7 linked regions of the Macaca fascicularis genome follow. The protein of the gene in region 2 purifies or fractionates together with the protein of the main gene of each other region. This does not show direct contact. Links are inferred from orthologs where the notes say so. Each region holds a gene or a part of one and is shown on either strand. Other genes may lie near its edges. The genes, in order: ANAPC16, ANAPC4, NEK2, ANAPC13, CCNA2, anaphase-promoting complex subunit 11 and ANAPC7.

The links.
Region 1: the proteins of ANAPC4 (region 2) and ANAPC16 purify together in Homo sapiens (co-immunoprecipitation; 10 studies listed by BioGRID and IntAct, with this or other methods). This does not show direct contact. The link is inferred for Macaca fascicularis from reciprocal best matches to the Homo sapiens genes ANAPC4 and ANAPC16.
Region 3: the proteins of ANAPC4 (region 2) and NEK2 purify together in Homo sapiens (affinity purification with mass spectrometry; 6 studies listed by BioGRID and IntAct, with this or other methods). This does not show direct contact. The link is inferred for Macaca fascicularis from reciprocal best matches to the Homo sapiens genes ANAPC4 and NEK2.
Region 4: the proteins of ANAPC4 (region 2) and ANAPC13 purify together in Homo sapiens (affinity purification with mass spectrometry; 9 studies listed by BioGRID and IntAct, counting the BioPlex papers as one, with this or other methods). This does not show direct contact. The link is inferred for Macaca fascicularis from reciprocal best matches to the Homo sapiens genes ANAPC4 and ANAPC13.
Region 5: the proteins of ANAPC4 (region 2) and CCNA2 purify together in Homo sapiens (affinity purification with western blotting; 3 studies listed by BioGRID). This does not show direct contact. The link is inferred for Macaca fascicularis from reciprocal best matches to the Homo sapiens genes ANAPC4 and CCNA2.
Region 6: the proteins of ANAPC4 (region 2) and anaphase-promoting complex subunit 11 purify together in Homo sapiens (affinity purification with mass spectrometry; 8 studies listed by BioGRID and IntAct, with this or other methods). This does not show direct contact. The link is inferred for Macaca fascicularis from reciprocal best matches to the Homo sapiens genes ANAPC4 and ANAPC11.
Region 7: the proteins of ANAPC4 (region 2) and ANAPC7 purify together in Homo sapiens (affinity purification with western blotting; 14 studies listed by BioGRID and IntAct, with this or other methods). This does not show direct contact. The link is inferred for Macaca fascicularis from reciprocal best matches to the Homo sapiens genes ANAPC4 and ANAPC7.

What each region holds. Positions count from the first base shown.
Region 1 is NC_088383.1:74,182,332-74,185,722, reverse strand, and holds the end of ANAPC16 (anaphase-promoting complex subunit 16), read left to right. Parts: intron 1-2,073; coding exon 2,074-2,189; 3' UTR 2,190-2,891; downstream 2,892-3,391. UniProt on the Homo sapiens protein: Component of the anaphase promoting complex/cyclosome (APC/C), a cell cycle-regulated E3 ubiquitin ligase that controls progression through mitosis and the G1 phase of the cell cycle.
Region 2 is NC_088379.1:24,532,265-24,534,569, reverse strand, and holds the end of ANAPC4 (anaphase-promoting complex subunit 4), read right to left. Parts: intron 1,391-2,305; coding exon 1,267-1,390; intron 855-1,266; coding exon 627-854; 3' UTR 501-626; downstream 1-500. UniProt on the Homo sapiens protein: Component of the anaphase promoting complex/cyclosome (APC/C), a cell cycle-regulated E3 ubiquitin ligase that controls progression through mitosis and the G1 phase of the cell cycle.
Region 3 is NC_088375.1:69,486,037-69,490,291, reverse strand, and holds the start of NEK2 (serine/threonine-protein kinase Nek2), read left to right. Parts: upstream 1-1,455; 5' UTR 1,456-1,603; coding exon 1,604-1,699; intron 1,700-2,538; coding exon 2,539-2,756; intron 2,757-3,341; coding exon 3,342-3,582; intron 3,583-4,255. UniProt on the Homo sapiens protein: Protein kinase which is involved in the control of centrosome separation and bipolar spindle formation in mitotic cells and chromatin condensation in meiotic cells.
Region 4 is NC_088376.1:37,392,895-37,397,124, reverse strand, and holds the start of ANAPC13 (anaphase-promoting complex subunit 13), read left to right. Parts: upstream 1-1,430; 5' UTR 1,431-1,537; intron 1,538-1,567; coding exon of another isoform or gene 1,568-1,901; exon of another isoform or gene 1,902-2,073; coding exon of another isoform or gene 2,074-2,247; exon of another isoform or gene 2,248-2,782; intron 2,783-4,230. Other genes in the region: CEP63 (centrosomal protein of 63 kDa), read right to left, coding at 1,626-1,901. UniProt on the Homo sapiens protein: Component of the anaphase promoting complex/cyclosome (APC/C), a cell cycle-regulated E3 ubiquitin ligase that controls progression through mitosis and the G1 phase of the cell cycle.
Region 5 is NC_088379.1:126,897,726-126,902,008, reverse strand, and holds the start of CCNA2 (cyclin-A2), read left to right. Parts: upstream 1-1,483; 5' UTR 1,484-1,721; coding exon 1,722-1,934; intron 1,935-2,708; coding exon 2,709-2,952; intron 2,953-4,261; coding exon 4,262-4,283. UniProt on the Homo sapiens protein: Cyclin which controls both the G1/S and the G2/M transition phases of the cell cycle. Functions through the formation of specific serine/threonine protein kinase holoenzyme complexes with the cyclin-dependent protein kinases CDK1 or CDK2.
Region 6 is NC_088390.1:88,270,450-88,274,558, forward strand, and holds the start of anaphase-promoting complex subunit 11, read left to right. Parts: upstream 1-1,309; 5' UTR 1,310-1,690; intron 1,691-3,455; exon of another isoform or gene 3,456-3,518; intron 3,519-4,109. Other genes in the region: ALYREF (THO complex subunit 4), read right to left, coding at 277-408, 910-1,167. UniProt on the Homo sapiens protein: Together with the cullin protein ANAPC2, constitutes the catalytic component of the anaphase promoting complex/cyclosome (APC/C), a cell cycle-regulated E3 ubiquitin ligase that controls progression through mitosis and the G1 phase of the cell cycle.
Region 7 is NC_088385.1:117,273,664-117,277,764, forward strand, and holds the start of ANAPC7 (anaphase-promoting complex subunit 7), read right to left. Parts: upstream 2,801-4,101; 5' UTR 2,708-2,800; coding exon 2,607-2,707; exon of another isoform or gene 1,807-2,606; intron 859-1,806; exon of another isoform or gene 804-858; intron 1-803. UniProt on the Homo sapiens protein: Component of the anaphase promoting complex/cyclosome (APC/C), a cell cycle-regulated E3 ubiquitin ligase that controls progression through mitosis and the G1 phase of the cell cycle.

The sequences.
Region 1 (3,391 bases), on a different chromosome or scaffold from region 2:
TTTTTTAAGAACAGAGCACATCCGGGCCGGGTGCGGTAGCTCACACCTCTTATCTCAGCATTTTGGGAGGCTGAAGCAAGACGACTGCTTGAGCCCAGGAGTTCAAGACTGACCTGGGCAACATGGTGAGAACCCATCTCTAAATATATATATATATATATATATAAAATTAGTGGAGAGTGGTGGCACATGCCTGTGGTCCCAGCTACTTGGGAGGCTGGCGTGGGAGGATTGCTTGAACCCAGGAGGCATACTCCAGCCTTCATGACAGAGTGAGACCCTGTCTCTGGGAAAAAAAAGAATAGGGCACATCCTGAAAATGTGATCATTTTATTTTAAAATGACTTTTTTATTTTTTGAGATGGAGTCTCTCACTGTCTCCTGGGCTGGAATATAATGGCATGATCATGGCTCACTACAACCTTCGCCTCCTGGGTTCAAGTGATTCTCCTTCCTCAGCCTCCCAAATAGCTGGGACTACAGGCACCCACCACCACGCCCAGATAATTTTTGTACTTTTAGTAGAGACGGGGTTTCACCCACCATGTTAGCCAGGATGGTCTCGATCTCTTGACCTTGTGATCCACCTGCCTTGGCATCCCAAAGTGCTGGGATTATAGGCATGAGCCACCATGCCCAGCCTAAAATGACTTTTAACATTAGAAGAAACTCCGACTTAAAAAAAAAAAGGCCAGGCGCTGTGGCTCACGCCTGTAATCCCAGCACTTTGGGAGGCCGAGGCAGGCGGATCACAAGGTCAGGAGATCAAGACCATTCTGGCTAACACGGTGAAACGCCGTCTCTACTAAAAATACAAAAAAATTAGCTGGGCATGGTGGCAGGTGCCTGTAGTCCTAGCTACTCGGGAGGCTGAGGCAGGAGAATGGTGTGAACCCGGGAGGCGGAGCTTGCAGTGAGCCGAGATCGCGCCACTGCACTCCAGCCTAGGCAACAGAGCAAGACTCCGTCTCAAAAAAAAAAAAGAATAGGCCGGGCACAGTGGCTCACGCCTGTAATCCCAACACTTTGGGAGGCCAAGGCGGGCGGATCACCTGAGGTCGGGAGTTCCAGACCAGCCTGACCAACATGGAGAAACCCCATTTCTGCTAAAAATACAAAATTAGCCAGGCATGGTGGCGTATGCCTGTAATCCCAGCTACTCGGGAGGCTGAGGCAGGAGAATCGCTTGGACTCGGGAGGCAGAGGTTGCAGTGAGCTGAGATCATGCCATTGTACTCCAGCCTGGGCAACAAAAGTGAAACTCTGTCTCAAAAAAAAAGAAAAAAGAAAAAAAAAATTAAGCTTCTGACCAGCATAGAATAAGACCCCATTATGAGAATTTTGAGGGTCAGGCGCAGTGGCTCACATCTGTAATCCCAGCACTTTGGGAGGCCGAGGCAGGCAGATCACCTGAGGTCAGGAGTTCGAGACTAGCCTGGCAAACATGGTGAAATCCCATCTCTACAAAAATACAAAACTTAGCCGGGCACTGGTGGATGCCTGTAGTCCCAGCTACTTAGGAGGCTGAGGCGGGAGAATCACTTGAACCCAGGAGGCGGATGCTGCAGTGAGCTGAGATGGCGCCATTGCACTGCAACCTGGGCAACAAAGCAAGTCCATCCCCCCGCAAAAAAAAAAAAAAAGAGAGAATCTTGAGGGGAAAAAAAATCCATCTAGAAATTGACTTTTTTTTTGAGACGGAGTCTCACTCTCTGTCGCCAGGCTGGAATGCAGTGGGACAATCTTGGTTCACTGCAACCTCTGCCTCCAGGGTTCAAGCGATTCTCCTGCCTCAGCCTCCCGAGTAGCTGGGACTACAGGCGCATGCCACCACATCCAGCTAAATTTTTTGTATTTTTATAGAGGCAAAGTTTCACCATGTTGGTCAGGATCGTCTCGATCTCTTGACCTCGTTATCCGCCCGCCTCGTCTTCCCAAAGTGCTGGGATTACAGGCATGATCCACCGCACTCGGCCTAGAAATTATTTTTATACCAGTCATCATCTTGGTGGCTGGTGGCAGTCTCATGGGTAATACATTGTTGTATAGTATTTTCTCCTCGACTCTTTACAGATCAGCAAGTTGCTCGGATGGAAAAACTAGCTGGTTTGGTAGAAGAGCTGGAGGCTGACGAGTGGCGGTTTAAGCCCATCGAGCAGCTGCTGGGATTCACCCCATCTTCAGGTTGATGCTGCCTGGATGGTCGCCTCTGGTGCGCAGCAAGTGCAAAGCCAGTGGGGGACTTTCTCACAGCTTGCATAGCCATCCAGAGATCCACAGCTACATCGCTGAATTGTTAATGCACATTTGTACTTGGTTTCTCTGTATCTATTCACAGGCAACAAATACTTATATGTATGATCTTTCAGGGAATATTTTGTTTGTTTTTAAAAGTATTGGGAATCAGATTAAGACAGTCGGTTTCAGAGAACCAAGAGGTTTGGGGTTAAGAGATACTTAAAAATTTTCACAAGCCAGGTAGGGCATATATCAGATTTGGCCAACTGATTGGCATCTGTCCTGTCATCCATACGGTGCCTGGAAATATTCACCAGTCAAGGTCAAGGTCAGCATCTGTGGTTAAAAATACAGCATTCTGACCTAAAAAATTATTTTGCAGATGAATGTGATTTCAACTCAGGAGCTATCCAAATGAGGATTAAATATTCATTTTTTTTCCTATTTTTAGACATCAATTCTATAGATTCTAACTTTTTCTAACCTCTTCTTGACATGCTAAATGCTGGCAAAAAGAAGTGCTTTTTGGATATGGCAACACTTGTAAAAATAAAGCAGTAAGCAAAATCCTTTTAAACACAGAAATCCTGAGTTCTTCTCATTGGTGGACTCAAGCAATTCTGTAGCAAATAAATCCTTTGAAAGAGCTCCAAGTTGGTGGCTTTATTCTTTCAAAATCTGAGGGATTTGGGATGAGGCAAAGAGGTCAAATTACTTTTTAGAAGAAGAGAATCTAAAAACCGTTTCTCCTAAACAAATGGTAGACTGGCTTTTCTTCAGGGATATGTGTCTTTATAGGAATACATGAATTTATCTTACTGATAATTTAAGTAGGTTTTTTTTTTTTTTTTTTTTTTTTTTTTTTTTTTTTTTTAAGAAACAAGGTGTTGCTCTGTTGCCCAGTTGGTCTTGAACTCCTGGCCTCAAGAGATCCCCCCCGCACCTCGGCCTCCAAAGCGCTAGGATTACAGGCATGAGCCACTGTGCCTGGCCTCAAGTAAGTTTTTATACCATGATAGGGAAAAACCTGGAAGGCTAAGAGATGTACTTTGTTTTCCCTCATGGGACCCCACGTTCCACAGTAAACAACTGGGATAATCATATATTACCTTGTATGCAAATTTTGCCTTAGACAGCATTTGTCTGTTCCTTG
Region 2 (2,305 bases):
ATTTCAATGTAATTTCTTCCTGATACAGAAACAATTCCTGATACCTACCCTTCTGACAGAAAATATTAGACTTTTTCTTCACATTCAATTTGTTCACTTTCTTTCTTTTTTGAGACACAGTCTCACTCTGTCACCCAGGCTGGATGGAGTGCAATGGCATGATCTCAGCCCGCTGCAACCTCTGGCTCCCGGGTTCAACCGATTCTCATGCCTCAGCCTACCAAGTGGCTGGAATTACAGGTGTGTGCACCACGCCCAGCTCATTTCTGTATTTTTAGTAGAGTTGGGTTTTGCCATGTTGGCCAGGCTGGTCTTGAACTCCTGACTTCAAGTGAGCCACCCACCCAGACTCCCAAAGTACTGAGATTACAGGTGTGAGCCACCATGCCTGGCCCTGTTTTCTTTAAACACTAGTTCTGTACATAGCATTAAAGAGAAATCTCAGAAAAAATAAAGTGTATCAGAGTGACTGTATCACTAAGAGAAGATGAAGCAGAATATGAAAAAATAAAATTTACTGTTTATTTCTTTGTTACACAAAGAAAATTAAAGGTGGTCCAAGACATCTTAGTCCATCTCCTATGTCCTTCTGGCCATAATTACACACACAACAATGGCAAGCTAGATTAAGAGTCTAGCTCAGGGTCAAGTTTTTCCACTTTAATGACTATCTCCGGAGCGAAAGCAGCAGCACCAGCTTGTTGGTTCTCTGTCTCTGACTCCGACAACACTTCTTCCTTTATTTTTACAGGCTTATTACCAGCCTCCTCCTCTTCATCTGAAGACTCATCGAGCTCCCATTCATCATCTATGTCCATTTCAAATACTCTCACATGACGAAGATTTGAGCTTAACTAAAAAAGAAAGGCCATAAAAGCACTTTTAAATTAATGGCTTAACTAATATATCATATATAAGGAATTAGAAATCAGAAGTCTGAATCAAAGAATGGTTTTATAGGAAACATATTCCCATCAATTTACAACAAAATCAATAAACTCAGCCTTCATTTTGTATAAAAAGGTCTCCACATAACAACAGTGGCAATTTCATGAGATTAAAATCTAGAATTATTAACTGCTTAGTAAGCTTTATCAGAACGAGAGAATAGCTAAGTCCACATGACCATAATCAATACAAGCTATAAATCACAGCAAAAATATTTGCACAAAAGGACCTTACATGTCATGTATTTGATGAAGGTTCCAAAGAAGCAATGTTACTTCTTGTAATTTCTTAGTTGCTGAACGATCTGTAAACACTTACCACACAGGATACTTTTCGAAAACCATTCCCAGCAACATACTGTGCTTTCATACTTTCCAGTAATCTCCAATGCTTCTCGAAATGCATGGTACGGGTGGGAATAGCACTACATTGTTCATCTAGCCTAAAGAGGGAAAAAACCCACCCAGGAATGAAAAGGGGATCTTCTCCTCCCTAGTTTGCTACAGGTGGTATTAGGGTCAATTATGGCTTTGACTTCTACTCATACTTCCACTTCCAATATAATTTTAGCAACTGTTGTATTAAAAAAAGAGCTGTGATATAATATTCTATAAAAATTCCATATTCTATATTCTGGCTGGGCACAGTGGCTCATGCCTGGAATCTCAGCACTTTGCGAGGCCAAGGTGGGAGGACTGCTTGAGTCCAGGAGTTCAAGGCCGGCCTGGCCAACAGAGTGAGACTCCATCTCTGTAAAAAATAAAATAAAATTAGCCAGACAAGGTGGCACATGCCTGTAGTCCCAGCTATGAGAGGCTGAGGCAGGAGGGTCACTTGAGCCCATGAGTTTGAGGCTGCAATGAGCTATGATTGCATCACTGCACTCCAACCTGGGTGACAGACACAAGCTCTGTCTCAAAAAAAAAAAAAGAAAATACTGCAATTCCAAATAGGCAGAATATCATTTTAGCAAGGTTTCTGACTCCCTTTCAAGGAAAGCAAATGGATACATTTTTAAATTAGAGATCTGCTTACTTAAGTCTCAGTTAAAGCCATCTCTTGGAATTGACAGTATACTTCCCACATGGGCACTGAGGTCTTAATTCTGGAAGGAAAATACTGAAGGCAAATCAAAAATAACTAATTCCAACCAACTAGGGTTAATGCAATCCTTGAAAACGTAACTAAAAGAAGTCCCATTCTCCACTCCAAATAATTCCCCACCTTGATTCCAGCAAATACTTCCTGATTTACTAGTAAAGCGAAGGGATAAAAAAAGCTATTAAGGCCAGCATATTTTGAATATAAATTGGAGCACTTCTGCTCAGCTACCTCTGTGGTTACCCCTAGTAATGAA
Region 3 (4,255 bases), on a different chromosome or scaffold from region 2:
TACCGATCTGTAAGAGGCACAAAAATAAAAAATGATGCTAATTAACATAGCCATCTGCAGTGCCTTACATAACTTTTGAAACCTAAAATTGTCCTATTCCCCTGAGGTAAGACAGTACCCTTGAATGTTAATTTAAAAATTCTCCTGGTTGGCAATTCCAGTTATCTTATGTTATATTCAGTGCATGTAGTAAGTCCCTTATTTTAACATAAAGAGCTTTTAAATTCTTATTAATAGAAAATCAGGTTTCTTTTAATCCTATGCCAAATAGATATTTAAAGAAAACTGGCCTGTTTATGCATTGCCAAATTATTAGCTTTCTGGTAATGTACGTATTTCTCCAACAAGCCCTGGATGGAGGCCTCTAGGTGCTCCTTCCCTGGTAAACATGGGACTGTTCATTTGGCTGGGTAAGCTGGGAAAGTTGGTTTGTGTGGGTGCCTAACAAAGAATCTGTGTTCAATGAAGTATTGTCAATAGGGTGAATTATGTGTTTGGCACACATAAACGGGACAAGATGTGTAAAGTGCTTGGTCAGAGAGCGACTGTATTTCTTCTTCTTTTTTTTTTTTTTTTGGAGACTGGGTCTCACTGTGTCACTCAGGCTGGAGTGCAGTGGCGCAATCTCTGCTCACTGTAACCTCTGCCTCCCGGGTTCAAGCAGTTCCTCATGACTCAGCCACCCAAGAAGCTGGGATTACAGACATGCACCCCCATGCTCGGTTAATTTTTTTTTTCTTCATTTTTAGTAGAGACGGGGTTTCGCCATGTTGGCCAGGCTGGTCTTGAACTCTTGGCCTCAAGCAATCCCAATCCGCCTGCCTCGGCCTCCCAAAGTGCTAGGATTATAGGCGTGAGCCACTGCGCCCGGCCTAATTTTCGTATTTTCAGTAGAGACGAGGTTTGCTATATTGCCCAGGCTGGTCTGAACTCCTGGGCTCAAGCGTTCCACCCACCTCGGCTTCCCAAAGTGCTAGGGTTACGGGCGAGGGTGAGTCACGGCGCCCAGTCTAATTTCTAATTTGTATTCAGCTCTCAGCGTGTCCTCAACGTGACCCCACCCAGGTTCAGGGTACTGGAACCTGAGCGAGGAAGGCGTGTTCCGGGGAGAGTAGGTAGTGTGAGGGGCCAGAGTGCAAAGGTCAGAAGGCATTTGGTGGAAGCTGTGTGCAAAGAAGCCTGAGGGGAGGTCCTTCGATCTCGGTTACCTTGGCGATCTCTACCAGAGGGTTAGAGTTGCCAAGAGGCGCCTGCTGCCGCTTCCTTTCTCCCGCCCTCCCTTTGGTTTAGCTCCGCCCCCTGCTCCCACAGGTTAAAAGCAGACGCCGACGCGGCTGCCTAGTGACACTTTTCCCAAGATGCCTAGGGTATTGTTGTGTTCTTCTTAGCCAATCAGAGAGGCGAAGCGGGCCCACCGCCTGCCAATAGACTGCGAGATCAGGGCCCGCGACAGTTAAACGGGGCCGAAGGCAAGGGTGACTGGTTAGCGCTGCTCGGGGGCTTCTCCGTGCTGGTCCCTGAAGCTCCCGGTCCCGGTCCCTGGAGCTCCGCATTTGGGGGCGCAACCTGCGTGAGGCAGCGCGACTCTGGCGACTGGCCGGCCATGCCGTCCCGGGCTGAGGACTATGAAGTGTTATACACCATTGGCACAGGCTCCTATGGCCGCTGCCAGAAGATCCGGAGGAAGAGTGACGGCAAGGTGAGCGTGGTCCCTTCCCTGTGCCAGCCCCTGCTTAGGGGCGAGCGCCCTGCGCCACCGAAGGGAACCGAGAGGGCTGGTGAAGTGGGTGCCCGGAAGACTCAGCCGTCTTTACTGAGTCTGCATCTGACAGCCTGTCCTGGGTCGCTTAAAGGATGGGAGACCGCGTCTTTTGATATATGTATTTCCATCTTTTCCCGTTTCTCTCCCCATTTCTCTCTTCTGTTTTGGGTTGCTAAGGACCTTCCATTGGTGACACGTAGCTAACTCCTGAGCTGTTTTTAGAGCTCTAAGAGTGGCCCTCTCAGACACAAGAAAGGGGCAGGACCACCAGAACCCGAAGCTTTGTATCTGCAGTCAGACTCCCTCAAAATACCCATTATTCGGATTATTGGATTCATATTTCCCAATGTATACAGGTAGACCTTTTACAGAAAGTAATATTGGACAGGAAACTGCCTGGCTGCTTTTCCAAGGTGTCTCATCCTGGGAAAACACGACTGAGGTGGAATGGGGCAGGGACTTTGACCACCTCCACCCCAATTTTGACTAAAGTACCTTTTTGCCAACTTCCCACTAACCAACTGAGGGTAGGGGTTGGGGGAGACCTCATGTGCCTTATTCCCCTTTATCTCCCTACAACATCATTTACTGCTTAGAAATTGAAAGAAGATTATGGAAGTAAACTCACAGTTCTTTAAGTTCATTGAACTAAATTAGATAATGACCTTGATTGTAGGATATAATTAAAAGGAAGGTTATTTTTTAAATCTTGGAACTTTCATTCTTTGTTTTTGAGCGTAATGAGTTCATTCATACCTTGGAAATTCTTATTTTAGATATTAGTTTGGAAAGAACTTGACTATGGCTCCATGACAGAAACTGAGAAACAGATGCTTGTTTCTGAAGTGAATTTGCTTCGTGAACTGAAACATCCAAACATCGTTCGTTACTATGATCGAATTATTGACCGGACCAACACAACACTGTACATTGTAATGGAATATTGTGAAGGAGGGGATCTGGCTAGTGTGATTACAAAGGGAACCAAGGAAAGGTAAGCATAATCTTTTAAAAATGTAAGCTGAAATTAGGTCTACTTTCATTTATTTTAAGCATCTTGTTTTAGGATCAGTAATATGGAAGAGTATACTTGCATTTGTTTGGTAGGTCCATAGTACTTTAGAAAATTCCCGGTGAATCAACACCCATATTTTATATCAAAATAACAATCTATAGGCTGAGTGTGGTGGCTCACACCTGTCATCCCAACACTTTGGAAGGCCGATGCAGGAGGATCACTTGAGCCCAGGATTTCAAGATCAGCCTGGGCAACATAGTAGGACCCTGTTTCTACAAGAATTAGCCAGGTATGGTGACATGTGCCTGTAGTCTAAGCTACTTGGGAGGCTGAGGCAAGAGGATTGCTTGAGCCTGGGAGGTCGAGGCTGCAGTGAGCCATGATCGTGCCACTGCATTCCAGCCAGGGTGACAGAGCAAGGCTCTGTCTCAAAAAATATAAATAAATAAATAAATAATTTATTTCCCTATTAGTACACTGGATAATTTATATCATCCCATCTTGGCAACGATTTTTTTTTTTTTTTAGAAGTTATATGCTGTATAACTGCTTTGGTTTCAGGCAATACTTAGATGAAGAGTTTGTTCTTCGAGTGATGACTCAGTTGACTCTGGCCCTGAAGGAATGCCACAGACGAAGCGATGGTGGTCATACTGTATTGCATCGGGATCTGAAACCAGCCAATGTTTTCCTGGATGGCAAGCAAAACGTCAAGCTTGGAGACTTTGGGCTAGCTAGAATATTAAACCACGACACGAGTTTTGCAAAAACATTTGTTGGCACACCTTATTACATGTCTCCTGTAAGTATTTCAGAATTTAGATACTTTTTAAAACATCTTTTATTTTTGTTTTTTTGTTTGTTTTTGAGACAGAGTCTCGCTCTGTTGCCCAGGCTGGAGTGGAGTGGTACGATCTCGGCTCACTGCAACCTCTGCCTCCTGGGTTCAAAGGATTCTCTTGCATCAGCCTCCCGAGTAGAGTAGCTGGGACGACAGGTGCATGTCACCATGCCCGGCTAATTTTTGTATGTTTAGTAGAGACAGGGTTTCATCATGTTGGCCAGGCTGGTCTCAAACTCCTGACCTCAAGCAATCTGCCCACTTCAGCCTCCCAAATTGTTGGGATTATAGGCGTGAGCCACCGCTCCCAGCCAAAACATCTTTTAATGTTAAGCATTCTGAAGCAGGGAAATTGAGTTTTCTGTTTGTTTAAGAATTGAAAATACTGTTATATTTTTCCACATGGACCACCAGACCAATAAAGTCTATGAGTTTTTGTTTGCTTCATGAATTATGTGTAATAATGTAAGTATGATGAAGACAGATTCCTACTCTAAGGTTTGCTACTGTTTGTCATCTCTCAGTGGGTTCAATTTTTTGAGCATTCATGCAAATTAAAGCATATTCAGTTCAAGCTTTTATGGAATGATTACAATGCATTAAACTTAAGGATTACAAAAATGAAATGGATTTT
Region 4 (4,230 bases), on a different chromosome or scaffold from region 2:
GTTGGTAGGTAATGCTCACTCGCCTGTCACTCACCTCCTGCTCTGTAACCTGGTTCCTAACAGGCCACGGACTGGTAGTGCTCTGCAGCCCCGGGTTTGGGGGCCCCTGGTTTAGAAGCCATAAAGGCAACAGAGATACCTGTTAAAGGATACTGTGCAATGTAATCTGCTAAATTTAGAACTGTAAGGAAAAATAGGGGCTAATCCCATAGCTATAGCTATGAGGGAACTGCTATAGATTAAAAGATGTCAAATATGCATCACCCAAACACAACAGGCAGATCCCTGTGGGATTTTGGTTCAAACAAGCTAACTGCAAAAAAGACATTTAAGAGAGAGTTGAAGAAATCGTAATCTGACTGGACATTGACATTAGAGAATTTTCATTAATTTGTGTATGTGTAATGACAGTAGTGTGGCTTTGCAAAACTGAAAGACCTAGCTCCTGACGGGGGCGGGCAGGGGACTAAAATAACATAAAGATCGGAAATTCAGTTCCTGAAACCTTGTGTCAATGTTGGCTTTAGCTGAATTCCAAATCAAGTTGACATTTTTTGAAAGCAGGAAGCAATGACAGAGTGGACTACTGATGCTGTCACCATCTGCCAGCACAACGTAAATTAGAACAGAAAGGACTAAGCAAAGGCATTCCACCTTTTAAAGAGAGAAAATGGCATCAGTACAATCAACATATACAATTTTTACAAACAACTTTTAGAGTTGCATCTACATACATTTTAAAAGGCAGTGTGCCTGTTTATAAATCTCTACCCCATTTTAGTTTCAGAGCCTTTTTTACTACCCTGATCACTGATCATGCCACAGTCAAAAGGCAATCTCAAAAATTAATCTAAAAATAGTACTGCATTCCAAATAAGAAAATATATATACTTTGTTTTACTATTAAGCTACAGCTAACAGAAATCTAATCAACGATCCTTGATTTTCTCTTACCTAAAAAATAAACGCAAGCACGTGAGGAACTGTATAAATACAGAGCATCTACCCTACAATACTGCTTTATAAAAGAATAAATTCTTTTAATAAGTTTAACCGGACATAAAGCTCAGGGAAAACTACTTTGTGCATATTAGTGTACGGTGCTTAAACTATACAAGATGACTAGTCTCTGACATCATACACATCTTTACTCTCCTGATGTCGTATACGACATAAAAAAAACCACATTATAAGCCTAAATGTACTGTCTTCAAGTATCTCCATGATTAAAGTGTTCCTAAGAAACCGTCCTTGTTTCTTTCTATCCCTGATCTGTGTGCATGGAGCAGTTAGTTCAGGGTTCTCCAATTTCAGTCCACGATTTCTGCCATAATTCCGTACCTGCTGTACTAAACATAACCGTTTACACCAACTCACTATTTTAAAAGCTGCCAACCTTAACATGCCACCCTAAATGAGCGGGTCCCCTTGTGCCGTGAATGAAGTAGTCCTAACAGCGCTAGCTAAACAGCAGCCCTGGCCGGGAGGCCGCACAGGGGTACCTCCGCTGAAAAGAAAGGTGGGTCCGCCGGGAAAGGTGAGTACTGGGCGCAGCTCGCCCGCCCACCTGGCTACTCTCCGAAGCGCCCCCAGCCACCCGGCCTCCGAGGAAACGCTGTGACCACCTGGCGGGGCCGAACCGCGCGCCGGGCTGCGCCATGCCGGACTACGCCGGTGTGCAGGGCATAGCGGGCCAGGCCGAGGGACGGGGCTCCGGGGCGGACGCGAGCCGGCGGGGAGGCGCCTGGTGGTTCGCAGACTGTTGCGCGAACCGGCCGCAAGCCATGAGGCCGCGAAGCCAGAGTCACCAAGGCAGCCTGGGCCGCCTCCGGACCAGGACGCGCTCGCCCCTTGCGCTTCCGTCTTGCGCACGGGCGGTTACACGGCTGCAGCAAGCGCATCCCTCAGCCTTCCCGCCGTTACCTCGGCCGTGCACTGCGCACGCGCGCCACCACTAAGCTTACGTCCAGCCTCAGCAGTCGGAGCGTTCGTTCCGCCCACTGCCCCCACACTTTTAATAATTGAATCAATGTCTGCTCCAGACTTCCCCTGCACGCGAGCAAATGGACTCACCCACATCCGGGAATCCGAGAAAGAGCGTGCAGACGCGTGATGCGGTGCGAGGCAGGAGGAAGCGTCTGCCGCGCTGGGCCGCGTAACGGTAAGGGTTTGCAGCGCCCCCGGCCTAGGTTTTGGAGGCGCGGGAATGCGTTCGTGGCTCAGTGTCGGACTTCCCCCTATTTCCATCGGCCGAGGCTGTCACTTTACGCTCATAACCGTTTTCTTTACTGCACGCTGTGTCGGGAGGAAAGGGACTTGCTTGGCACCCCAGACCTCCCCGTCTCCGCTTCCACGTTTGGTACATCCTGCGTCAGGCCGGAAGCCGCGGCTGAGGGGCGGCCTCTCGTACAGTGTGGTGGCCTGCGAGGCTCATTTCTAGCAAGGAACAATATTTTTCCCGCTTTGACCTTACAGATACATGTTTACAAAGCTATAATGTATAGAAATGGATAAGACATGTCCCTGTCCCGGGAAACGCAGGCACTGCGTGTCTGGAAAGACATACATCTGGGCTGTTTGACAGGCTACCTAGTTGGTGCCATGCTCTGTGCTTAGGGAACTATGAGATCCCCGGTGGGTACCGGGACCGCGCTCAGCCTGAGGTTTGGAGGCGGCCTCCTGCAGGAAGCGACTTGAGACCTGAGATTTTTAGACTGACTATGGGTTCGCTGGAATAAAAAGGAAGAAACAAACAGCATTGCAGGCATCGGGACTGTCACGTGTAAGAAAAGTTTGTTCAGGAAACAGTTGTCGTATTGTGTGACGAGTACTTGGGACGGTGGCTGTGCCTTGGGCGTTGATTATCTTGTTGCTTTCCATCCTTCCAGCCCCTTAAGAGTGAAGGCACCTTCACGCCTAACCCCGGAAATGGGATGTTGACCTCCAAGAGCTGACGCCTGCGTTGATCTTGAAAGGAAGAGTGGCATTAGTGATGTGGAAAGGGGGGTTTTAACTGTCAAGGCTGGAAAATGTGACAGGGTTTGAGGTGTTTGGAGAAGGGACAGGTGAAAAAGATTGAGGCCAAATTGTAGAAAGATCTACTAAGGAATCCTGGGTACAAAATGTACACATAACAGTTGGAGACAATAATACCTGAGCAATTGATCACAAAGCTTGTTTAGTAGATTTAAGTTAGGACAAGAAGCAAGAGTTCAAGGATAGAAGGCCTACTGAAGCTCGAGTGATCTGAGAAAACCTTACTAAAAGGTGGAAAACCTATGTGGGCCTGGGAAAGTCAGGTTTGGATCAGCTGAGGAAAGTGAAAAGGGTATCCCAGGAGACACAGCAGCAAGGACAAAGGAGTAGCAGCAGGAAAGTGGGGAGCTCTTATAAGACAGGGACTTCAAAAGTATAACCAAAACTTCGTCTTGCTTTGAGTTATCCACTGGGTAGTAGGGGGTTAATTATTGAGTACTGGATTAATTAAGCCCTCACCTGGCTCACCGGTGACAAGTAGCAGGGCGCGTTTTGCTTAAGTTTTGCCCAGATCTTTTAAACCCTTTCCTACACACCAATCTGTGTATAATTTTTGCCAAGGTGTTGGGGATATCTTGCAGTTATCCTATGGGGGACATCTGTGAGCCTTTTTTTTTTTTTTTTTTTTGAGACCAAGTCTTTTTTTTTTTTTTTTTTTTTTGAGACGGAGTCTTGCTCTGTCACCCAGGCTGGAGTGCAGTGGCCAGATCTCGGCTCATTGCAAGCTCCGCCTCCCGGGTTCATGCCATTCTCCTGCCTCAGCCTCCCGAATAGCTGGGACTACAGGTGCCTGCCACCACGCCCGGCTAATTTTTTGTGTTTTTAGTAGAGACGGGGTTTCACCGTGTTAGCCAGGATAGTCTCGATCTCCTGACCTCGTGATCCGCCCACCTCGGCCTCCCAAAGTGCTGGGATTACAGGCGTGAGCCACCGCGCCCGGCCATGTGAGCCATTTTTACAAAAACTTCCACCTGCCTTGGCCCAAACCTCAGCATTCTTAGGCACAGGAGCTCATGAACATACTGAGATAACACTAAAATGGACTATGGGAAGGGACCAACTACAGACCTGACACAAATCCTCAAGGCAAGACGATGTCTGAAGTTGACCTTGTAAAGGAAAAGGCTTCCTTCCTTAAAATAGCACCCAGGCTGAGCTCTGAAAAAAGCACCTCAAGATGGTGGGTTCCACCCC
Region 5 (4,283 bases), about 100 Mb from region 2:
AAGAGGACATGCTAGTACTTTATAAAGCTGGGACCAGAACCCAAGTACTGGTACTTGCTTTGTGTCCTGGTTACTATGTATGTTGCCAGCTAGTGGAAGTAACCTACCAATTATTTTTTCTAGGAGATAGGATTGATTTGCAACTGATTTTCCTTTTGCTTGGTGATGTTTTATGACTCTGCTGCAGTTTGTGGAAATGCTGGACTTGGCTCAGTGCTATAAATTGTAGTCAGGGAAATAAGAGCTTACACAGAGTCGGGGGATCTTAACTAGACATGCTGTAACCAGTGGAGCTATTCAAGCATGCTACAAGTGAAGAGTGCAGAAATAGTGATGCCATCTTAGATTTTCCTATACCAGTATGATCTCTTTTTATCATATATGACATTAAGGCTACAGAAGTTTTGTACATTAATCTTAATTCATATTTATTAATTTCAAAGAAATATTGAAACGTCTTAAAATGGCATAAAGATAATGGAAAATAAGCTTTGTTTCAAGAAGGGCAGACTCACTAATTTTTTAGAAAACAATGCTTCTTAATGATATGCTATTATACTTACTAGGTACGTGCAAGCTTTGTATATAAATATTAAAATTTGTTACAGGCACATATATAGTTAAGAGAATTTTATTTTAATAAGATCATATTGTTTTTACTATATTTAAAGAAACTTTACTTCTGAAAGGAACATAATTTATCTAGGTCACTAGAATGTCATTGTATTTTTTGTTGGCTGCCACAGCTTGGGGAAAAATAGATAAAAATTAATGACTCTATTTGAATATTTTGTAATGCATTGTATATTTATTATATATATATCAACAGTAGTTCAAGGTGGCACTTAATTGCATCTTCATTAGGAAAAATAAAAAGCATAAAACACAATTTCTGGTTACTATGAATAAATGCCTAAATGTTAAGATATTACTACAGTCTGACACTTGAGTACTGTATTACTTACTATGTGAGCTCCGTGTTAATTTATGCACATTATTTAATCCTAATAACCGTTTGACTGTAGTTATTAGTCCCTATTAACAAATAAGAAAACGGAGAATCGGAGATACTGAAAAACGTGGTCCAGATTTTAGACCTTGGGAAAAAGTCACTTGAGCTAACTAGAGGTCCCAGAGCTAAAGGCTGGGCAGCCCAAATGATAGTCGCCAAAGTTTAATTCCGCTTAATTCCCTAAAAGGCTTAGAGTCAGCCTTTGGACCGCCTCGCTCTCTAGGTGGCTCAAAGTAATCGGAAGCTCGGGCCCTGAGTACCCCTAGCTCTCCCCGACCCGCGCAGGCGTTTTCTCCCGCCCCAGCCCCAGTTCGTTTCTCCCTCCTGCCCCGCCCCTGCTCAGAGTCCTTTGGTGCTTCCTTCATTCGCTTGCGACCCTGTCGCCTCGAATGACGTCAAGGCCGCGAGCGCTTTCATTGGTCCATTTCAATAGTCGCGGGATACTTGAACTGCAAGAACAGCCGCCGCTCCGGCGGGCTGCTCGCTACATCTCGGGGTGTCTTTGGCCCGCCACGCCCGGCCGTGCCTTCCTGCGCCTTTCGCAACCTCCTCGACCCTGCGTGGTCTCGAGCTGGGTGAGCGGGCGGGCGGGTAGGCTGGCCTGGGCTGCGACCGGCGGCTACGACTGTTCTTTGGCCGGGTGGGCTGGGCAGAGTGCACGCTGCTTGGCGCCGCAGGCTGATCCCGCCGTCCACTCCCGGGAGCAGTGATGTTGGGCAACTCCGCGCCGGGGCCTGCGACCCGCGAGGCGGGCTCAGCGCTACTAGCATTGCAGCAGACTGCGCTCCAAGAGGACCAGGAGAATATCAACCCGGAAAAGGCAGCGCCCGTCCAGCAACCGCGGACCCGGGCCGCGCTGGCGGTACTGAAGGCCGGGAACCCGCGGGGTCTAGCGCAGCAGCAGAGGCCGAAGACGCGACGGGTAAAGGGATGCGGGATGTCTGCAGGAGGGTGGGTCGAGCAGGGTTTGGCACTGGCTTAGCAGGCAGAGAAGAGTGGCGAGAAGGCATGTCCTGGGCTTTTGGAAGGGGGCCAGAGTCTGGAGTCCACTTGGTGCTGGTGTGTGGGATGCCACAATAGGAATTCTCCCATTATTAGCATCAGGACCCCGCCAACACTGTGTATGCTGCCTGTCTGCTCTCTATAGGTGGCATCTGCCTGTACATAATGGGGTCAAACCAAGCTCTAAAACGTGTAGTCTTCGCTCAGCTCCGCGCCTTTCTCTCCACTTTTAAACCCCAGGCACTACTGTAGGACTCTGACCCCCCTCCTCCTCATGGTTAAGAGATAACCTCTACTTTAGAAAAGGGTGTACGAAATAACTTTGCTTTTGGCAAATTCCGCCATTTTAGCCGGATTTGCTCTGTTGCTCCACCCTCGGGCGACAGTGGTGAACCAACACTTTTTTGCCATGTCTTTCCTAAACTTGTCATGTATTGACTTGCCACCCGACCCTTCTTGTGGCCCTGATTAGTTTTGCATAATTCCACCTAGTGTTATCTATTGATAGCCTTTGTGGGAATGCCTGTGACAAATGGGAACATCCCTTCTCTTTTGAATACTCAAACTATTGTTTGTCCCAGAAAGTTTAATTCCTGATAGAGTATTTGGGAGAAAAAGCAAAGGCCAACACCCATAAGAGAAAGAATGCAAAACTATTTAGTAGGCTCAAAGCCAGTTATTTATTTTTGTTTAGGTTGCACCCCTTAAGGATCTTCCTGTAAATGATGAGCATGTCACCGTTCCTCCTTGGAAAGCAAACAGTAAACAGCCTGCGTTCACCATTCATGTGGATGAAGCAGAAAAAGAGACTCAGAAGAAGCCAGCTGAATCTCAAAAAACGGAGCGTGAAGATGCCCTGGCTTTTAATTCAGCCATTAGTTTACCTGGACCCAGAAAACCATTGGTCCCTCTTGATTATCCAATGGATGGTAGTTTTGGTAAGTTTTAAGGAAAATCTATATGAATTTACGGTAATTATAATTATTAGATATTAATGATTTGCATTTTAAGATGTCTTATGTAGTCATTTTGATTACAGTGAGTTAGGTTTAATGTAACAAGGCTTAGAAAGGATGTGACTTATCTCAGATCTCACAGCTAACACTCGACCTGGTGATGTACAAAAGGATCCTAACCTAGTGCTCTTTCAGGTTCACTGCCAGTCACATCAGTCTAATTATAATTAGATCTTAAATGCTTATTTTAATCTGATCCCATAAATGTGTTCTTGGTTGGGAGAATAGATTTCAGTTTTATTTAACTCACTTATATATCACTTAGAGAGTGCTATTTGAAGATGCAGTCTTAAATATTGTGATTACATAACATCTCTTCCAGTTTTATAATTTTGTTTCTATAAAACCAGTCTGGATTATCATCTGATACCAGAAGGTGACACTTTTCCTCCTACAAGTAAACAGTTGTACCATGGCTGTTTACTCTTACCCATGTATTAAAGTAGCTGCTGCAAACAGCTCTTTGCAGTTTGTACTGTTTCTTTGCCCTAGGGATATCGAGTCACTGGACAGCTCACTAAATCCAGTCTCATTTTAGTTTTAGTTGTATAGATCGTGGGGAAGGAGGGGTGAGCAGGAAAAGTCCTTTGGAAATAATAATTTGTGTGTTTTTATCAAAATTTTGCAGAAAATGTTTAATCTCAAGGTGATCTTTGAAGCGAAAAGAATAATGGATGATACTCTTTGCTTCAAAAGATAATTTATACTACAAAAAATAAATTTATAGTGTTAATCCATTTGCCCATAACAAACCTAATTTCTTAATAACACTTGTTAATGGAGGCCATTTAACTGATTCTAGCTATCGCCTAATTGGGCTTTGTATATGTCAGACTCTGGGATCTGCAGTCTCTCTTAGGGCAAATCTTAGATATTATCTCAAAACTTGGATTTTAAATGTTCTGTCCTAACAGAACCACCATGCCATCTGCTCCTTTCTGTTGTGGAAGATGGATACTTTAAGATAATACCTGATTCTCGTTTTCCTGTTAGGGGCCTACTAATATGGTTTTCTTTCCCCCTTCATTAACTAAAATCATTCCAAAGCTATATGTACAGAGATACTGAGACTAAGGTAAAATATTCTACCTTTTTCGTCATGAGAAGCTCTTTTTAGTTTGATGAAATAAGTGCTTTGTTAATATGAAATTCCTTACAAGGGCAGTCATTTTTAGCTATTAAACTAAGTAGACAAACAATTAATTTAATCATATCTTTTTAATTGTCCCAGAGTCACCACATACTATGGACAT
Region 6 (4,109 bases), on a different chromosome or scaffold from region 2:
GTTTTGGTCCCTGTTAGAAACTGGAAGCCCTGGCTGGGGATGTTCACTCACAGAACCCATCTTCACACTATCAGCAGCAGTTCCTCAGGCTCGGCTAGGCTCGCACCTGCCTGCGGACTGAGCCCGGCTTTACTAGAGCTAGGTCTGTCCTGCAGCCCTTGAGAGCTGGGAGCGCTCCCTTCGCTAAGGCGGGAAGGGGACTCAGGGCCCCCTCCCCCAAATCACGATCGGTCCTGTGCAGGGCGAACGGCTCACCGAGAAGCCCTCGTCTCTTACCTGAATATCGGCGTCTGAAACTCCAAAATCCAGATTGGACACCAGCAGTTTCCCACCCGTCTCCACGCCGGCACCACCCCCGAAGCCACTGTCGAAAAGATCGTGCTGCCACTTGTCGGGAAGTTGTTTTGGCTGAAGAAAAAAAACCGCAACAACAGCAGATCCGTGAGTCTCAGTCCAGGCCTTTCCTGGCCCTCACGGCTACTCCGGACCCTTCCTCTTCCCGGCCTGAGAGGATCCGGCCGAGACGGGGCCGCCGGCGCTCCCTCCGGCGCAGCAGCTGCCCCAGCCCGAGGCGGCACGGTCCCACCGCGGCCGCACAACTTCAGTTCCCTTCGACTAACTTCCCGCCGCCGGTGCCGCGCCCAGCGTCCCCTCCTCTCCTGCCGCCACGAGGCCCCGGCGGCCGGAACAAACAAAGAGCCGGGAAGGGTCTCAGCCTCCGAGACCGGGCCCCGAAAGAACGACCTCGCTCCCGCCCACCACCCCCTCCGCGCCCACACGCACCCTCCGGACCTCCGGGCGGCCGCTCCACCGGCCCTATCTGTCCGCCGGCCCGGGTCTCCACCGCGAGACGCCCCGGCCCCGGCTGGTCCCCTCCCGCTCTCCGGCGCGGCCGGCCTCCGCACTCACCCTGCTGTAGGGCGCCGGTCGGTTCCTGCCGCCTCCGCCGGCCGCGCCGCGGGCGATGGCCGGCCGGTTCCGGATGGGCCCGCCGCCTCGACTCACTCGCGCGGCGGCCTGCGCCCCACCGCCGCGACCGCCCTGGGAGCCGGCCCGGCCGCGGCCCCGGCCCCCGCCGCGGCCGCCTCGTTGGCTCCGGTTCAGTTTAATGATGTCGTCCAGAGACATGTCCATTTTGTCGGCCATGGCGGGCGCGGAATCGGGCATCGGCTCGAGCCCGCGCGTCAGCACGCCGGCGCGTCACTTCCGGCGCCTCGTGAGGCCTTCCGGTGCCACGGCCTCGGAGCGACTGCTGATTGGCCGCCGGCGGACGGCTGCGCGCGCGGGACGGGGTGAGGCGGGAAGGCGCGTGCGCACTGGCTCGCGGGACTCGGCGGGCGCTGCTGAGGGAGCCGGGCCGCGACTGAGGTCGTTTTTATACCTTCCCGCGCGGACGCCGGCGCTGCCAACGGAAGGGCGGGCAGGGCGGCGCGTGATTAGGTTGGCGAAGGTGCGAGGGCGCAGGGGGTGGGGCGGCAGCCGTTGGGGGCGGAGCCTGCGCGCCCCTCCCTCCCCGCACGCCCCACCCGATCGCCCTGGGCTGGGGGCGCTGGGGGCCCTGCGGGCGCGGCGGGTGCCCGGCAGCCGCTGGGAGTCCTTGTTTCCGCTCCCGCCCGGGACTGTGCGCTCGGCTCGCGGCGGGGTCCAGCGGAGGACTCGGCGGGCGACAGCCGCCGCAGAAGAGCTGCGGGTTGGTTGTTTGGTCCCCACCTGCAGACCCCCGAGTCTGCACTCTCACAATTTGCTAGTCATATCCTTTACAAGTTTTCGTGCGCGGTCACGCCTGCAATCCCAGCGCTTTGCGAGGCCGAGGCAAGAGGTTCGCTTCAGCCCAGCAGTTTGAGACCAGCTGGGGCAACACAGTGAGACCCCATCTCTTAAAAAAAAAATTAGTTGAGGCCGAGACGGGCGGATCACGAGGTCAGGAGATCGAGACCATCCTGGCTAACACGGTGAAACCCCGTCTCTACTAAAAAATACAAAAAAACCCTAGCCGGGCGAGGTGGCGGGCGCCTGTAGTCCCAGCTACTCGGGAGGCTGAGGCAGGAGAATGGCGTAAGCCCGGGAGGCGGAGCTTGCAGTGAGCTGAGATCCGGCCACTGCACTCCAGCCTGGGCCACAGAGCGAGACTCCGTCTCAAAAAAAAAAAAAAAAAAAAAAAATTAGTTGGGTTTGGTGGTGCACTTTTGTACTACCAGCTACTTGGGAGGCCGAGGTGGGAGGATCGCTTGAGCCCAGGAGGTCGAGGCTGCAGTGAGCCATGATGGCACCACTGCACTCCAGCCTGGGTGACAGAGCCAGACCCTGTCTCCAAAAGAAATTATATGACATATTTGCAACTTATTAATGAAAACCAATGTGCTATTTCATGGAATTTTTTTTTTTTTTTTTTTTTTTTTTGGAGACAGTCTTCTTTCACCCAGGCTAGAGTGCAGTGGGGCAGTCTTGGCTCACTGCAACCACTGCCTCCTGGGTTCAAGCGATTCTCCTGCCTCAGCCTCCCAAGTAGCTGAGACTACAGGCATGTGCCACTACACCCAGCTAATTGTTGTATTTTTAGTAGAGAAATTAGTTGTATTTTTAGTAGAGACAGGGTTTCGCCATGTTGGTCAGGGTGGTCTTAAACTCCTGACTTCAGGTGATCCGCCCGCCTTGGCCTCCCAAAGTGCTGGGATTACAGGCGTGAGCCACCTACACCCAGCCCACTTCATGAATTTTAAGTTGTTTTGAGATATTTGCTTTTGTTTTTGTTTTTTGAGTCAGGGCCAGCCCATTTCATGGATTTAAGTTGTTTTGAGATACTTGCTTTTGTTTTTGTTTTTTGAGCCAGGGTCTCCCCTTGTCACCCAGACTGGAGTGCAGTGGTGTGATCTTGGCTCACTGCAGCCTTGAACTCCTGGGCTCCAGCTATCCTCTCGCCTCAGCCTCTCAGGCAGCTGGTGCATGCCACCACAGCAGGCTTTTTTTCTTTTTTTTTTTTTGAGACAGTCCCACTGTGTCGCCCAGGCTGGAGTGCAGTGCTGTGATCTTGGCTCACTGCAACCTCTGCCTCCTGGGTCCAAGCGATTTTTGTGCCTCAGCCTCCCGAATAGCTGGGTGCTGGGATTATAGGTGTGCGCCACCACGCCTGGCTAATTTTGTGTGTGTACGTGTGATGGAGCCTCACTCTGTTGCCCACGCTGGAATGCAATGGCATGATCTCGGCTCACTGTAACCTCTGCTTCCCAGGTTCAAGTGATTCTCCTGCCTCACCCTCCCGAGTAGCTGGGATAACAGGTGCCCACCACCACACCCGGCTAATTTTTTGTATTCTTAGTAGAGACAGGGTTTCAGTATGTTGGCCAGGCTGGTCTTGAACTCCTGACCTCAAGTGATCCACCTTCCTCGGCCTCCCAAAGTGCTGGGATTACAGGCATGAGCCGCCACCTGCAGCTAATATTTTTGTATTTTTGTAGAGACGGGGTTTTGTCATGTTGGCCAGACCCACTTGAGATCTTTGAAGATATCCTCAACATGAGGTAAAATGAAACTCCTGACAGTGTGACCTCTCTGTCCGTGAGGAGCTGAGTTCCCTCCCTGGGAGAGAAAAGTGTGCCCTTTCTCTAGACGGCTAAAGAAACCTCACAGATAGTTCTTTCTTTTCCTTTTCTTCTTTTTTTTTTGGTAGAGACAGTCTCACTATGTTACACAGGCTGGTCTCAAACTCCTGGGCTCAGGCGATCCTCCCAAGTTGGCCTCCCAGAGTGCTGGGATTACACTCGTGAGCCACAGTGGATTGCTGCCAGGGCTCGCTGTTCTGCAGTAGCTCCCCTGTAGCCCTGACCCTCTGTACCCAGAGCCCTTTACCTGTTATTTGTTTTAATAGAAATGGGGCTCACAGCAGGGCACGGTGGTTCACGCCTGTAATCCCAGTACTTTGGGAGGCTGAGGCGGCAGATCGCTTGAGGCCAGGAGTTTAAGACCAGCCTGGCCTACGTGGTGAAACCTCGACTACTAAAAGTACAAAAATTAGTCTGGTGTGGAGTCGCGTGCCTATAGTCTCAGCTACTCAGGAGGCAGAGGCACAAGAAATGAGGTGAGATCATGCCACTGCGCTCCAGCCTGGGTGA
Region 7 (4,101 bases), on a different chromosome or scaffold from region 2:
AGAACCAAGTGAAAGGTTCCAGAATAAACACAGAAGGCTGACAGAGACCAGGGCTCCTGTCAACATGAAGTGGATGGTGGCAAAATGATGGGTCTCACTAGTAAGGTCCAAAGCACACTAATGAGGCCGGGCTCGGTGGCTCACGCCTGTAATCCAAGCACTTTGGGAGGCCTAAGTCATGGGGATCACTTGAGGTCAGGAGTTCGAGACAAGCCTGGTCAACATGATAAAACTCCATCTCTATAAAAAAAAAAAAAAATTAGCCAGGCGTGGTGGTGCGAATCTGTAATCCCTGTTACTCAGGAGGCTGAGGTGGGAGGATCGCTTGAGCCTGGGAGGTGGAGGCTGTAGTGAGCCAAGATCGCACCACTGCACTCCAGCCTGGGCAACAGAGCAAGACTCTGACTGAAAAGCAAAACAAAACACCAAAGCACACTCATGAAAATCCAATGGGCAGCAGCAGCTGCATTGTAAGCACTTTAAGGACCTTTCCCTTCTGACCTAGACCAGCTTCTATAGCAGGCCAAACACTAATACATCTACAGAGTAGAAGTTTCCATGATAATGCCATTTGGAGGTAGCAGACTGGTGGCTCAGAATGGAGACTCTCCAGTCAGAGAAGACCAGGTCCAGACATTGTACTCCTCCATTTATTAGATGTGTGAACTCAGACAAGGGTATTTCACCTCCCTGAAGTTGTACTCACTTCCTCAACACACTCAATAAGCATGTGAGTGCTTAATGCGCACATCCACTGTGCTTTCAATTGCTAGGCGATGCGAAGGGTAGAAAAGTGGGAGTACCTGAGAGTCCTGGGAGTCAGAGAAGGTTCTCTAGGAGAGATGTTCAGGCTAAAACCTGAAGGAGGAGGCAGCGCTGAGATAAGGACCGTTGCAGCAGGAACAGCAAGTACAAGGGCCCAGAGAACACGCTTGGTACATTCAAATAACACAAAGAGGCCAAGCGCGGTGGCTCACGCCTGTAATCCCAAAATTTTGGGAGGCCGAGGTGGTGGGATCACCTGAGGTCAGGAGTTCAAGACCAGACTGGTCAATATATTGAAACTCCGTTTCTACTAAAATTACAAAAATTACCTGGGCATGTGGCGCTCGCCTGTAATCCCAGCTACTTGGGAAGCTGAGGCAGGAGAATCGCTTGAACCCAGGAGGCGGAGGCTGCAGTGAGCCGAGATCGCGCCACTGAACTCCATCCAGCCTGGGCGACAGAGCAAGGCTCTGTCTCAAAAAAAAACAAAAATAAATAAAAATAAATAAATAACAGAAAGAATAGCCAGAGAGGCTGGAGAGCAGTGAACACAGTAATGAGATGAAGTAGCAGAGAGTGAAGGGCAGATAGTTCCTTTCGGAGGCCATGGGAAATAATTTTCATTAGTGCAATAAATGATTTTTTTTTTTTTTTAAGACGGAGTCTCGCTCTGTCGCCCAGACTGGAGTGCAGCGGCGCGATCTCGGCTCACTGCAAGCTCTGCCTCCCGGGTTCCCGCCATTCTTCTGCCTCAGCCTCCCCAGTAGCTGGGACTACAGGTGCCCGCCACCACACCCGGCTAATTTTTTTGTATTTTTTTAGTAGAGACAGGGTTTCACCGTGTTAGCCAGGATGATCTCGATCTCCTGACCTCGTGATCCGCCTGCCTCGGCCTCCCAAAGTGCTGGGATTACAGGCTTGAGCCACTGCAACCAGCCAGTGAAGGATTTTAAGCAGGAGAGGGACATGTACTTAAGGATGGACACTCAAGGATGGAATCAGCCCAGTGCTTCAATGAAACAAGAAAGGCGCCACGCCCACCCATTAATGGAATCTCCCGTTTCTTTTTTGAGACAGGCTGTCGTTCTGTCGCACACGGTAAAGGACAGTGATGCGATCACGGCTCACTGCAGCCTCGACCTTCTGGGCTCAAGCAATCCTCCTGCTTCAGCCTCCCGAGTAGCTGGGAACTCAGGCACGCACAATCACGCCCGGCTAATTGTTTAATTTTTATTTTTCATAGAGGCAGGGTCTCCCTATGTTGCCCAGGTTAGTCTTAACTCCTGGGCTCAAGCGATCCTCCCGCCTCGGCCTCCCAAAGTGCTGGTATTAGAGGCGTGAGCCATCGCGCCCGGCCCCGTTTTCAGGGGTTTCCCAAGGCGAGAAAGTGGACCCTCCTGATACACTTAATGGGGTGACCAATCTCAGATGCGGGGCTAGAGCATAAAAACCAGGAGGCTGGGTCCCGGAGCTGCAGCGAGAGAAAAAAACGTTCTCTGGAAGGAGCCGAGAGGGGAGGATTCGGCCCAGCGATGTGACAGTCGCGCTACCCCGCGACAGGTGCCTCAGAAAACCCTCGCCTGGGTCGTCCTCAGAGCCTCTGCCTTCTATTTCTCCAAGCCGCCGCTCGCCACATCTCCGCAGGGACTTGACGCCGGCACCCAGTGAACCCAACTTGCGCTCCGAAGTCTGCTCCGCTCCACTACGCCCTCGCAGACGCCGGAGCCTCCGCTGGTGCGGGAGGCCGCTCCTTCCCGCCTGTTCCCGCGTGCCCTGAGCCCCCGGTCCCAGACCACTGCCGCTTTCTCCTCAGCCCCAGGCCGCTCCCCGCCTCAACTCACGGGTTGTTATTGCTCATTGTAAGTAACAAGCTGCTGAGGAGCCGCACGTTGGAGTGCAGCCCCGCGGCCGCCATGTCCCGCACGTGGTCTATCACATTCATCCTGCCCTGCAAGGCCGCGGGCAGCGGCGGCAGCACTGTCTCGAAAAACCGGTAAGGGATCCTTAGGGAAGACTCCAAAATGGCCGCGTCGCCGGGGTCCATCGGGTCCACACGCGGCACCGCCCCCAAGCAAAAGGTAACTACTGAAGTGCCCGAATAAAAAGAAACTCGAGTCCCTGCTCCTGTCGTGGTCCCTTTCCGGTGAAATGAGTTGTTACTTTTACGCAAAAATTACGTCATCATCCTAAACTGCAAAATTTACTGAGGACTTACAATGAGACAAAAGTCACCTTAGTAAGACTACTTGGTCAATTTGAATGAGTCTGAGAGGAATTTGGGCCTCTCAGAAATTAAAATGTGTGAGCACTTACCAGAAATAAAATATAGTAAGGTGAGGAAAAGCGCTCCAACTGGAATTAAATATTCTAATCGGGCGCCAGGGACAGACCTAACGGCTTTTACAGTCGCGCATGCGCACCAGGCAGGGGCCGCCGCCTCCCTGCTCAGGTGTTTTGTGTTCCTGCTAAAGTCAGGCTTTGTCCCTGGATGAACTTGTTAATTCGAGGGGCGTATTTTACCATGTAAAATGATTCCCTAAATCCGTGGAAATAAAGACTAGATCCAGGAATTAGCTGATACCCATATAAACCAGCATGTGTCTGGCACAGTTAACTTTTTACAAAAGTTTTACACAAGTTATTGGACGTTCACAACAATCCATAAAGTTGAAGTTGTCTTTCCCTTCTCACAAGGGAAGAAACTGCCTGCTTAAATTTTGTGCTCAGGTTGTTAAATGGTTGACTTGGAATCAGATCGCCAGTGGTTAAATGTGATGGATCGCAAACTCGAATGTATACAGAGACCAGGGAGGTAACTGAGCCAATGAGGCAGTTTAGGTATTTGAATCAGAATCCCAATATCCTCCACAATCACCCTCTCAGATATAGCCTTTCGCTCCTTTCTTGAAGGAGACAGTTGTTTTGGTCTATATTTTGTTTTCATTTGATTTTTAGAGTAACAGATGCAAAAAAAAAAATGCTCTGAAAAAATCACGGTATATCTTCACCAGTCAACTTTTTCAGCTCTTACATTTTGTCACAGTTGAAGCTCCTGTGATCCTTTTCCCATCTCATCCCCTACTCTAGTTTTCTGGATGTATGAGACCTTTGATGTGATTTTGGTAGGCATGATCACTGTGAACTTTTCTTTTTTTTTTGAGATGGAGTTTTGCTTTTGTCGCCCAGGTTGGAGTTCAAAATCTCAGCTCACTGCAACCTCTGCCTCCCGGGTTCAAGTGATTCTCCCTGCCTCAGCTTCCTGAGAAGCTGGGATTACAGGCACCTGCCACCACTGTCACGCACGTCCGTGTGAAGAAACCACCAAACAGGCTTTGT